3 linked regions of the Macaca fascicularis genome follow. The protein of the gene in region 2 purifies or fractionates together with the protein of the main gene of each other region. This does not show direct contact. Links are inferred from orthologs where the notes say so. Each region holds a gene or a part of one and is shown on either strand. Other genes may lie near its edges. The genes, in order: SMARCD3, BCL7A and ARID1A.

The links.
Region 1: the proteins of BCL7A (region 2) and SMARCD3 purify together in Homo sapiens (affinity purification with mass spectrometry; 4 studies listed by BioGRID and IntAct, counting the BioPlex papers as one, with this or other methods). This does not show direct contact. The link is inferred for Macaca fascicularis from reciprocal best matches to the Homo sapiens genes BCL7A and SMARCD3.
Region 3: the proteins of BCL7A (region 2) and ARID1A purify together in Homo sapiens (affinity purification with mass spectrometry; 5 studies listed by BioGRID and IntAct, counting the BioPlex papers as one, with this or other methods). This does not show direct contact. The link is inferred for Macaca fascicularis from reciprocal best matches to the Homo sapiens genes BCL7A and ARID1A.

What each region holds. Positions count from the first base shown.
Region 1 is NC_088377.1:192,524,438-192,528,085, forward strand, and holds part of SMARCD3 (SWI/SNF-related matrix-associated actin-dependent regulator of chromatin subfamily D member 3), read right to left. Parts: exon of another isoform or gene 3,534-3,648; intron 3,228-3,533; coding exon 3,016-3,227; intron 1,257-3,015; coding exon 1,214-1,256; intron 395-1,213; coding exon 272-394; intron 155-271; coding exon 32-154; coding exon of another isoform or gene 16-31; intron 1-15. UniProt on the Homo sapiens protein: Involved in transcriptional activation and repression of select genes by chromatin remodeling (alteration of DNA-nucleosome topology).
Region 2 is NC_088385.1:129,140,620-129,144,267, reverse strand, and holds part of BCL7A (B-cell CLL/lymphoma 7 protein family member A), read right to left. Parts: intron 1,295-3,648; coding exon 1,127-1,294; intron 1-1,126.
Region 3 is NC_088375.1:208,334,763-208,338,410, reverse strand, and holds part of ARID1A (AT-rich interactive domain-containing protein 1A), read left to right. Parts: intron 1-417; coding exon 418-550; intron 551-732; coding exon 733-908; intron 909-1,270; coding exon 1,271-1,421; intron 1,422-1,503; coding exon 1,504-1,638; intron 1,639-1,722; coding exon 1,723-1,819; intron 1,820-2,245; coding exon 2,246-3,137; intron 3,138-3,322; exon of another isoform or gene 3,323-3,498; coding exon 3,499-3,629; intron 3,630-3,648. UniProt on the Homo sapiens protein: Involved in transcriptional activation and repression of select genes by chromatin remodeling (alteration of DNA-nucleosome topology).

The sequences.
Region 1 (3,648 bases), on a different chromosome or scaffold from region 2:
GACACCTGGAGAGACCTGGGCCGGGACGTACATCATCCAGGAGCTTCCCCTCCACCCGTAGCTCCCAGGAGGCAATGCTGCCATCGGAGTCCTCAGCGTCAGGCTTCGCAGGGTTAAAAGTGTTGGAGATATAGAGACGCAGCTTCCGCTTTTGCTGTAGAAATAGAGTGTAGAACCGGGCAAATGCTGTGTGCTTCCACCCTGACTACCTTGCTTCCCCATCCTGGTCACGCGACTCAAGAGTCCCCTTCCTACCCCCGAACTAAGGCACCTTCATGGGCCTCTTCAGAGCCTCCTGGATGTCCACCCGCTTCCGCATGATGGTTTGATCCAGTTTCCTCTCAAATGCCAAGAGGTCCATGTAAGCCTGGGACTCGGGGACCAGCTCCCGAATCTGGAGGAGGAGGAGCAGGGCAGGAGTCAGAGGCTCGAGTCCAGGGTTGTACCATGGAATGTATGCATGTTGTGCAATCCTAGGGTGCAAAAGATGTCGGGGGAGCCATCCTACTTCTGGGCATGGAGCTTTGACAGTGGGAACAGGACCTCTCCCCAGGATGCCATTATCCAGCAGTAGGGGCCTTGCTGTGTAGGGATAACAATTGCTTCTCCCTTTAGGAAGAGCCTTGTGTATCATCACGGGGAGGAGGTAGCAACTGTGGAACCCAGCAAAGCACTAGCCTTTAGTCTCCTCATCCTGTCATTTTCTATGTCATATGCCCACTGGGCTTCCCCTGGGCCCCTGCAAAGTGCCTAGTAGGGGCTCAATCCCTGGGACAGTTGGACAGCAGTGCTTTCTTCTTTGCTGGCACATTGCTCAGCCCCCACACCTGTCCCAACTGTGCTGTCCCCCATATCCAGCTGGACCTGGGTCCCTTTAGGATGCTCAGGATCTCTGGCCACCTTCTATCCCCTTCATTCTGCCTGGCAGCTTTTGATCCCCTAGCTCTTGCCCCCTTCTTGTCCCACAACTCTGTCTTAGTACCACTTGGATCCAGCCCCCTGACAGGCCCCTGTGTTCTGGCCCCAGTGGCTCTGCTGCTTCCCTCCACCTCACCCCCTCCCTCTGGCCTAGGGAGCCTCACTTATTAATGAGTTTTTTTAAACAAAAAGTGAAAGTGACTGTGACACTGAAGCTCTGCTTTTGAGGGGGGAGGGGAGGGCAGAGCAGCAAAGGGTAGGGGGTGGGCTGGGGGCTGCTGTGAAAGACACTCACCCTTTGAGGGAGGATTTTGTCAGCCATCTTCCTCCTCTTGGCACTGTACATTTTTTAAAGAAAAAACCAGGTTACCATGGCGACAGATCTGGGAGTAACGAGGCCACCTGCTAAATTATCCCGACATCTCCGCCCGCCTGGCTGGGGTTCCCACAGCCCGCTTGTCTGCCCGCCCAAGGGCTATGACGGTGGTGTGTGGAACTGGTGCTCTGTCCTCTCTAAGGACACAGGGGTGACCCGTCCATTCTCTGGCCTGGGAGCCCCCTTCTAACCTGCCACATCCTTAGGGACAGAGAAATTTAGACTTAGGAGGGACTGGCGAGTGGGGGTGGTGCTGCCAAAAGATGGGAGCTGCAGAAGTGTTTGAGGAAAGGTGGGGATGAGGGAGGACAAAGGAGAGGGAAGCCAGGTCTGAGGACCTTTTCTGGAAAGCAGGGGGTGCCCTGTCCAAAGGATTCTAAGCTCAGAGGGAGGGAGATAGACGACTTCCTTCCTATCCATGGAGCGGAGGTGATGGTGTGAAGCTGGCGGGACTTGCATCCCTTCCAGGCACCCTGGGCTTGCAAGAGAATGCTGATGAGCAGGGGTACTCATGCCCTGGGACTACCTGGCAACAAGGTGAGGGACATGCTGCAGCCATAGGCGCCCAGAATGTGCATGGGTGTGACTTCAGGCTGAGGCCAAATTGACTAGGCCCAGGGTAGTAGCAGCTGGATGTGAGCTCTTTCTGACCCACTAGCTGCTGCTGACTAACCCAAAAACCCCCAGAAAAACCTTGGCGGGTCAAGAGATGAAAACGCAGCCTAGAGAATAGCTCCATACTGCCCCCGTGTGGTGTTCTCAACCACTACCCCCTCCCTATGCAGAAATCTAAGGCTAACAAGCAGATTTCATTAAAGGTCTGGTTTGTTTTAGACAGATTATCTTTGTGTAACTCTCCATTTATACAAGATAAATCAGGGAATTACCGTTTGCTGTACAAAATGACGATGCACTTTACAAAATAATTCATCATGGGATTCCTATAAGTGGTGAATTTTCCCTGATGTGTAAAAAATACTTAATAATGAGGTAAAATTGATATTACACCTTTTATAGAAATCCATCTGTTGTGCAAAAAAAGCATGTGTATTTGGCTAAATACTGAAATCCAGAGGGGCACTGCTGTTGCCAGGAGCCAGCAGGGGCTTTGAGGGTGCCACCAGCTGCTGGAGGAAAATAAGGCAATGGGCTGGCCCTGGTGGCTTGGGAGCAGACCTGGTCCAGAGTGCCTAAGAATTAAGAGCGGAACTGGGCAGAGACCACCTACCACAGGGCAAATCCCCAAGCTCCACCCCCAGGGCCAGAGAGTCCCATTGAGAAAATCTGGAGTGGCTTTGAAACAGTCCGGGGTCTGGCAGGAAGGCTCAGCGGAGAACTACACTTTGGGCAACACAGTCCTACAGCTCTGCCCTCAGTCCCACTGGAAGCCCCGCCCCCAACCCAAAGACTTAAGCATCACCCAGAACCTGATGGGTGGAGAGAGGGACTGAGCAGGTGACAAGGAGAAGGGTGAGGGGAGCGTGCAGGGAAGCGGTACCGGCTGCCGACGGCCACAGCCTGTCTCTACCGTGGGCACACAAAAGAATCAGGCCGGTGCCCCCTAAGCCCACCTCCCCAGAGGGCATCCGATCCGGGAAGCCTCGCTCCCTGCTAATCATTCTTCCTCACCTCTTCCAATCCCCGCTACTCTCTCACCTGGTCCCTGCGGGTCCCCAGGGCCCGCCCCTGCACGCCCACTCCGCGCCGGGCCTCCCACTCACCTGCGGCTCCGCGCGGGGGCGGTGGGCACCGGCTGGCCCTGGCTCTGTGCCTGGCTCTGCCCGGGCGGGGGCGCTGCTCGCTTACGGGCGGGCTCCATGCCCGCGGGGGCCAGGCCGGGTCGCACGGCGGGGCTGCCCATGTAGGGGGAGCCCGGGGGGCCCATGGGCGCCCCCTGGTGGGGCATCCGGGCTCCAGACGGCATCCCGGGGCGCTGTGGGTGGGCGGGGGTGAAGCAGAAACGGGCGCCCGTGGGTCAGACCAGGGCCCCCAGCTCCAGGCGCGGTGAGCCGGCGTCTCCCCTCCCCCACCAGACCCTCGGCTGGTGACCCTGAGCGCTGAGCGATGGGTGGGAACGATGGGTAGGAGGGGCAGGGGCGCCGGAATACGCGCGGCTCTGGCGGAGGGGCTTGGCGTCTGGCTGTAGGAAGCTAACTGAAGCCAGGCACCGCACAGGGCATTGCGAGCCTCGGGGCTACGGAAGGTACCGCAAAAATGAATATTAATGGCTTCTTTCAACCTTTCAAAGATGTTCACATCCACATGCTCCTCTACAAGACAGTCTGAGCAGGTCCTTTCATCCCCACTTGACGGATGGGGCCACTGTGGCTCAAGGAGAAAAACGACCTCGCCAA
Region 2 (3,648 bases):
CAAGTGATCTGCCTGCCTTGGCCTCCCAGAGTGCTGGGATTACAGGTGTGAGCCACTGCACCCAGTCCCCGTCTTATTTTCCAGCTCCTCACTCACTCTTCCCTCTGCCCACACTGCTCTCCTCCCAGATCCCCATACGGCTTGCTCACTTGCCCAGTCTGAGCCTCGTCTTGTTCAAAGGCTGCCCCTGACCACCCCATTTAAAATTGCAACTCCCCTGGTCATTCAGCAAGACCCCCCACCCCCATCCCTTTCCGACTTTATAATTCTCCACCACACTTATCTCCCTAATACTAGGTTGTCTGATTTTTAAACATATTTAAACATTTTTATTAATATAATTATATTTTGAGCCAGGGTCTCACTCTGTCACCCAGGCTGGAGTTCAGTTGTGTGATCACGGCTCACTGCAACCTCCAACTCCTGGGCTCAAGGGATACTCCCACCTCAGCCTCCTGAGTAGCTGGGACCACAGATAGGCACATGCCACCATGCCCGGCTCATTTTAAAACATTTTTTTGTAGAGACAGGATCTTGCTATGCTGCCCAGACTGGTCTCAAACTCTTGGCCTCAAGTGATCCTCCCGCTTCAGCCTTCCAAAGCATTAGGATTTACAGGTGTGAGCCACCATGCCTGGCCGATTGTTTGATTTTTATTTATTTACTTATTTTTGAGACAGGGTCTTATTGTCACACAGGCTGGAGTGCAGAGGCATGATCACGGCTCACTGTAGCCTTGACCTCCTGTGCTCAAGTGATCCTCTGACTTCAGCCTCCTGAGTAGCTGGGATCACAGCTGTGTGCCACCACACTTGGCTAATTTTTTTTTTTTTTTGGTAGAGATGAGGTCTTGCTATGTTGCCCAGGCTGGTCTTGAACTTCTGGGCTCAAGCAGTCCTCACACCTTGGCCTCCTAAAGTGCAGGGATTACAGGCATGAGCCACTGCACCTGGCCTGTCTGATTTTTTTAATTCCCCCATGAGACCATGTACTCCAGGTGTCACCTCTCTTTACTGTCTCCGTGCTGTGGCTGGCACATGACAGGGCCTCCTGGAACACCTAGCCACAGACTGCCTGAAGGCCGGTTACAGGGAGGCCGTCAGAGCCACCTCCAGAGGCCACGTACCTTCAGCTCCTGGGTGCTCCTTCCCATCAGCCTGGGCCTCGTCTGCCTTGGCCTCGGTGCCGTCGCTGGGCACAGCCGAGTTGGGCTCTGGAGCGGGGCTGGAGTTGTTGCTGTTCTCCTGTTTGATGGGGGAGGCATCTGCGATGGAGCTCTGGTTGCTGTTGTCGTCTGTGGGGTGTGGGAACAGAACCACAGGATGAAATCCCACAGCTGCCAAGGACGGGCAGGTCGGAGGACTCGGCATCCCTGTGCCTCAATGCCCGGAACCCCACAGCAGCTCTCCCACCGGGGAGGGGCCTGGTTATCGGTTTTTTTTTTTTTTTTTTGAGATGGATCTCACTGTGTCAACCAGGCTGGAGGACTGTGGTGCAATCTCAGCTCACTACCTCCTCCTCCCGGGTTCAAGTGATTCTCCTGCCTCGGCCTCCCGAGTAGCTGGGATTACAGGCACCACTCCTGGTTACTTTTGTATTTTTAGTAGAGACAGGGTTTCACCACGTTGGCCAGGCCCGTCTTGAACTCTAGACCTCCGGTGATCTGCTCACCTTGGCCTCCCAAAGTGGTGGGATTACAGGCATGAGCCACTGCACCCGGCCATGCGGTAGGGGTCTGGATACTGGATACTCCTCCTCCTGGGACCCCTGAGCTCACTCCCGCCCCCACCCCCATCCACCCAAGCACCACAGCCGTCCCATGTGTCCAGAGAGGCAAAGAATTCCGGCGCTGGCCTGACCTTCCCCACACTGAGCCAACTGTACCCTGTGTCTGCAGGCAGCCAGCTGGGGACAGTGGCCTCACATATTTAAAATCTTGGGGGGACATTTGAGGCCTCATTCTGGGGGTGGAAACCAGATGCATTGTGTGTCTGGCAGAGAAGCGATACGGAAGACATGGCATGGTCCGTGAGGCGGGGCTGCCAAGACGTTCTGTCTGACTGATGCAGCCCGGAGCCGAGTTCCACTTGATAGGAAATAAAAAGGAGAGAGAGACAGCGGGAGGTGGCACATTCCACGGGACACATGGTCCACTCCCTTAAAGTCAGTATCATATTAAAAAAAAATTCAAAAAAAGTGGGGGAGGGGAGATGATTTTAGAATAAAGAAAGCTAGGAGACTCGACTAAATATGATGTATGGAAATTATTTGCATCCTGTTTCGAAGGTGCCAGCTGTAACACTTTGGAACAATTGGGGAATTTGAATATGGTCTGGGTTTTAAAAGCTATTAAGGAACTGTTGGTTAATTTAGTTAGAAATGATCATGGGACAGTGGGTATGTAGAAACATCCTGTTTTTAGCAATGCATGCTGTGACGTTTAGGTGCAGACTTGAATGTCATGAGGCAGGGAAATTTACCAGAAAATGCTTCAGTGCAGGCTGCAGGCCAGTGTTAGGATGCTCTGAACTTTTACACTTTTTTTTTTTTTTTGAGACAGAGTCTCACTCTGTTGCCCAGATTGGAGTGCAATGGTGCAGTCTGGGCTCACTACAACCTCCGCCTCCCGGGTTCAAACAATTCTCCTGCCTCAGCCTCCCAAGTAGATTACAGGCGCCTGTCACCATACCTGGTTGAGTTTTGTATTTTTAGTAGAGACAGGTTTCACCATGTTGGCCAGGCTGGTCTCAAACTATTGGCCTCAGGCGATCTGCCCACCTCAGCCTCCCAAAGTGCTGGGATTACAGGTGTGAGCCACCGCACCTGGCCACTAGCTGTGTATTTTTTATATGTGAATTATATTTTAATTACAAAAATTTAACACATCGAAAAAATAGATGAGACAAATATGGCATCATGTTCATGAAAATCAAAGTGGAGTGTATAGGGGGATTGTATCCCCCTCCCTATTGTTCTTGACAACAAAACTCTTTACAATACAAAGAAGAAAGAGAAGGGGTAATTGGCAATGGCATCCACAGTGGGGCTGCGGGCAGAGCTGGGGCCCAGGCTGCACCTCCCCTTGTCCTGCACCCCCTTCTCAAGCACATAGTCACTCTATTTCGTTTTCTGAGATGGAGTCTGTCACCCAGGCTGGAGTGCAGTGGCGCGATCTCGGCTCACTATAATCTCCACCTCCTGGTTCAAGCGATTCTCATGCCTCAGCCTCCCAGGTAGCTGGGATTACAGGCATGCACCACCATGCCCAGTTAATTTTTGTTATTGTTATTATTTTTTAGTAGAGACGGGGTTTCGCCGTGTTGGCCAGGCTGCTCTTGAACTACTGACCTTAGGTGATCTGCTCACCTCAACCTCCCAAAATGCTGGGGTTACAGGAGTGAGCCACCACGCCCAGCCATCTATGTATTTTTTATTTTTAGAGACAGGGTCTTGCTCTGTCACCCAGGCTGGAGTACAGCAGCAGAATCATAGCTCACTGCAGCCTTGAACTTCTAGGCTCAAGCTATCCTCCTGCCTCTGCCTCCTGGGTAGCTGGGGCCACAGGCATGTGCCACTGCATCTGGCTAATTTTTAAATTTTTTGTAGAGATGGGGCCTCACTATGTTGCCCAGGCTGTCTTGGCCCCCT
Region 3 (3,648 bases), on a different chromosome or scaffold from region 2:
TAGACTCCTAAAATACATCCCAGATTTGGAAGCCCCTCCCTACCCAGGATTTGGGAGGTTCTGACTGGAGCTCATGCACCAGCATTACAGGGTTTAATAGGTTAGACAAGGTCCTTTGGAGGAGTGAAAAGAAATAGCCAGGGAAGCTGGCAGTGACTCAAGGAATCACCAGCATGGTGATGTCATGGCCACATCACTCCTCTTTTCTACATGTAAAACAAAAACAAAGAGCTACAAAACCCTCAAATTCCCGTCTTCATGACCTGGCCTTGTAGATCCTCTGCTAAGAAGGGTGATCAGGCTTTAAAGGCCTTAGGAAGAACTTTCCCAAAGAGATTCTGGGTCATTCGTGTGTTTGTGTGAGAGTTAAACACTTTCATGCCAAGCAAACTGCTCAAATTGTATCTCTGTCCACAGCGGGATCAGGATCTATGCAGGGGCCCCAGACTCCTCAGTCAACCAGCAGTTCCATGGCAGAAGGAGGAGACTTAAAGCCACCAACTCCAGCATCCACACCACACAGTCAGATCCCCCCATTGCCAGGCATGAGGTATGGCCAAGAGCAGGGGCAGATGGTTGGGAGGTATGGCTGGAGATAAGTGCATGGGAACTCCTTTGCAGCCAAAGGGTGGTCTTTGCCTCTGCCTTCCCAGCCAGTGACTACTGCGTGTCCTGTGTTACATTGGAGAAATGGGTCTATTTGTGGTCTAATTGGTTTTCCTCACTCTGGAGCAGGAGCAATTCGGTTGGGATCCAGGATGCCTTTAATGATGGAAGTGACTCCACATTCCAGAAGCGGAATTCCATGACTCCAAACCCTGGGTATCAGCCCAGTATGAATACCTCTGACATGATGGGGCGCATGTCCTATGAGCCAAATAAGGATCCTTATGGCAGCATGAGGAAAGGTGACTGATCTGATTGCTATTTGAGCTTGTGCTCGTAAAGATGGGACCAGTGAAATGGTGGGAAATCTTGAGAGTGGCTCAGGGTTCTTGTGGAGCCATCTTCTGAGATAATGCATTTCCTGCCCTAACTACCCCTCTTCATCCCTACCTCCTTTCTTGTCTCCTCCTTGACCTCACCTTGTCATCCCTTAACAAGTACATGCCTTTTGCTGGTTGGGGCCTCTTTAGATCTCTGTTTTGAACTTGTCTGGAAAACAATGAGATCAAACTTGAAGAGGGCCTGGGTCTTTGGAGCAGACAAATATATATTACCAGCTTTGCCAACTTACCAGTTTGTTCACTGCTTGCCTTTCTACACTCAGCTCCAGGGAGTGATCCCTTCATGTCCTCAGGGCAGGGCCCCAACGGCGGGATGGGTGACCCCTACAGTCGTGCTGCTGGCCCTGGGCTAGGAAATGTGGCGATGGGACCACGACAGCACTATCCCTATGGAGGTCCTTATGACAGAGTGAGGTAAGCATGACCCCAGCTCCTGTCCACCCGCCAGCACCCTGAGGCTATAGTGGGCTCAATCTGTCTCTTCAATTTTGTTTAGGACGGAGCCTGGAATAGGGCCTGAGGGAAACATGAGCACTGGGGCCCCACAGCCTAATCTCATGCCTTCCAACCCAGACTCGGGGATGTATTCTCCTAGCCGCTACCCTCCGCAGCAGCAGCAGCAGCAGCAACGGTGAGTAAAGCCTGGTCTTGGTGCTGCTGTTTCTCAGGCTTTGCCACTGCCCACCCTGATCCTGTGTTTCTTTGCCTCCTGTAGACATGATTCCTATGGCAATCAGTTCTCCACCCAAGGTACCCCTTCTGGCAGCCCCTTCCCCAGCCAGCAGACCACAATGTATCAACAGCAGCAGCAGGTGAGGAGGGTAGCTGGGAATGGACCGGCATGCAGGTTCGTCTTCAAAGCTAGTTAGTAAACTAACGTGTTGAAGTCTAAGAAGCTCACTTTAGATATTTTGGCATTCTTCTCTCACCTGACTGGCCAGTCCTGCTTGAAGAGCCAAGTCCTCAATCTCTTCTCTATTTGGAGTTGGAAGGGGCTAGAAATAGACCTTATTTTGATCGTTAGGTTTTGTATATTTTTCTACTTAGAGCAAGGGAGGGGAAGAAAGAGTGGTGGTTGCTTTTGGAAACAACTTCAAAAAATAATTTGTTAAGGTGATTCCCATGTTTCCTTGGAGTCTATGGCCACCAGGCATCTAGTTGTAGCCATCTCGGCATCTGTGGGCTTTATGTCCCTGAGTGCAGAGTATTAACTTCCCCTCTGCTTGTCTCTGCCTTAGAATTACAAGCGGCCAATGGATGGCACATATGGCCCTCCTGCCAAGCGGCATGAAGGGGAGATGTACAGCGTGCCATACAGCACTGGGCAGGGGCAACCTCAGCAGCAGCAGTTGCCCCCAGCCCAGCCCCAGCCTGCCAGCCAGCAACAAGCTGCCCAGCCTTCCCCTCAGCAAGATGTATACAACCAATATGGCAATGCCTATCCTGCCACTGCCACCGCTGCTACTGAGCGCCGACCAGCAGGCGGCCCCCAGAACCAATTTCCATTCCAGTTTGGCCGAGACCGTGTCTCTGCACCCCCTGGCACCAATGCCCAGCAAAACATGCCACCGCAAATGATGGGCGGCCCCATACAGGCATCAGCTGAGGTTGCTCAGCAAGGCACCATGTGGCAGGGGCGTAATGACATGACCTATAATTATGCCAACAGGCAGAGCACGGGCTCTGCTCCCCAGGGCCCCGCCTATCATGGCGTGAACCGAACAGATGAAATGCTGCACACAGATCAGAGGGCCAACCATGAAGGCCCGTGGCCTTCCCATGGCACACGCCAGCCCCCATATGGTCCCTCTGCCCCTGTGCCCCCCATGACAAGGCCCCCTCCATCTAACTACCAGCCCCCGCCAAGCATGCAGAATCACATTCCTCAGGTATCCAGCCCTGCTCCCCTGCCCCGGCCAATGGAGAACCGCACCTCTCCTAGCAAGTCTCCATTCCTGCACTCTGGGATGAAAATGCAGAAGGCAGGTCCCCCAGTACCTGCCTCACACATAGCACCTGCCCCTGTGCAGCCCCCCATGATTCGGCGGGATATCACCTTCCCACCTGGCTCTGTTGAAGCCACACAGCCTGTGTTGAAGCAGAGGAGGCGGCTCACAATGAAAGACATTGGTAAGGAGATCTCCCTCATTCGGTTGCCTAATCTGCCCCTTTCCGTCTTGTCCATTGTTCCCTCCACCTTAATATTCTGGATGAGGTTGAATCTGGTCCAGTATTGACTAAAATAGAACCAAAGAACTTTGGAAAAGGAAGAAATAAGCTAACTAAAAGTTTTCCTTCAAAACATTGCCATGCAGTGATGTCCTAGACAGACAGCTTAGAAGCCATGAGGGGCTGGTGTGTGTCATCTCCCAGACAGGAACTGCCTTCTACATTGTGTTATCTTCAGAGTAGCCTCACTGATGGGGCAACCCTGGGGGTGCCTCCAGCCAACCCGGGCTTGGTGGATGGACGACATGGAGGTTTATTTCAGGAACCCCGGAGGCATGGCGGGTAATGATGTCCCTCAAGTCTGGTCTCCTGGCAGAGAGCACATGGGCATTAGATACCATCAACATCCTGCTATATGATGACAACAGCATCATGACCTTCAATCTCAGTCAGGTGAGTATCAGTGCCTGGG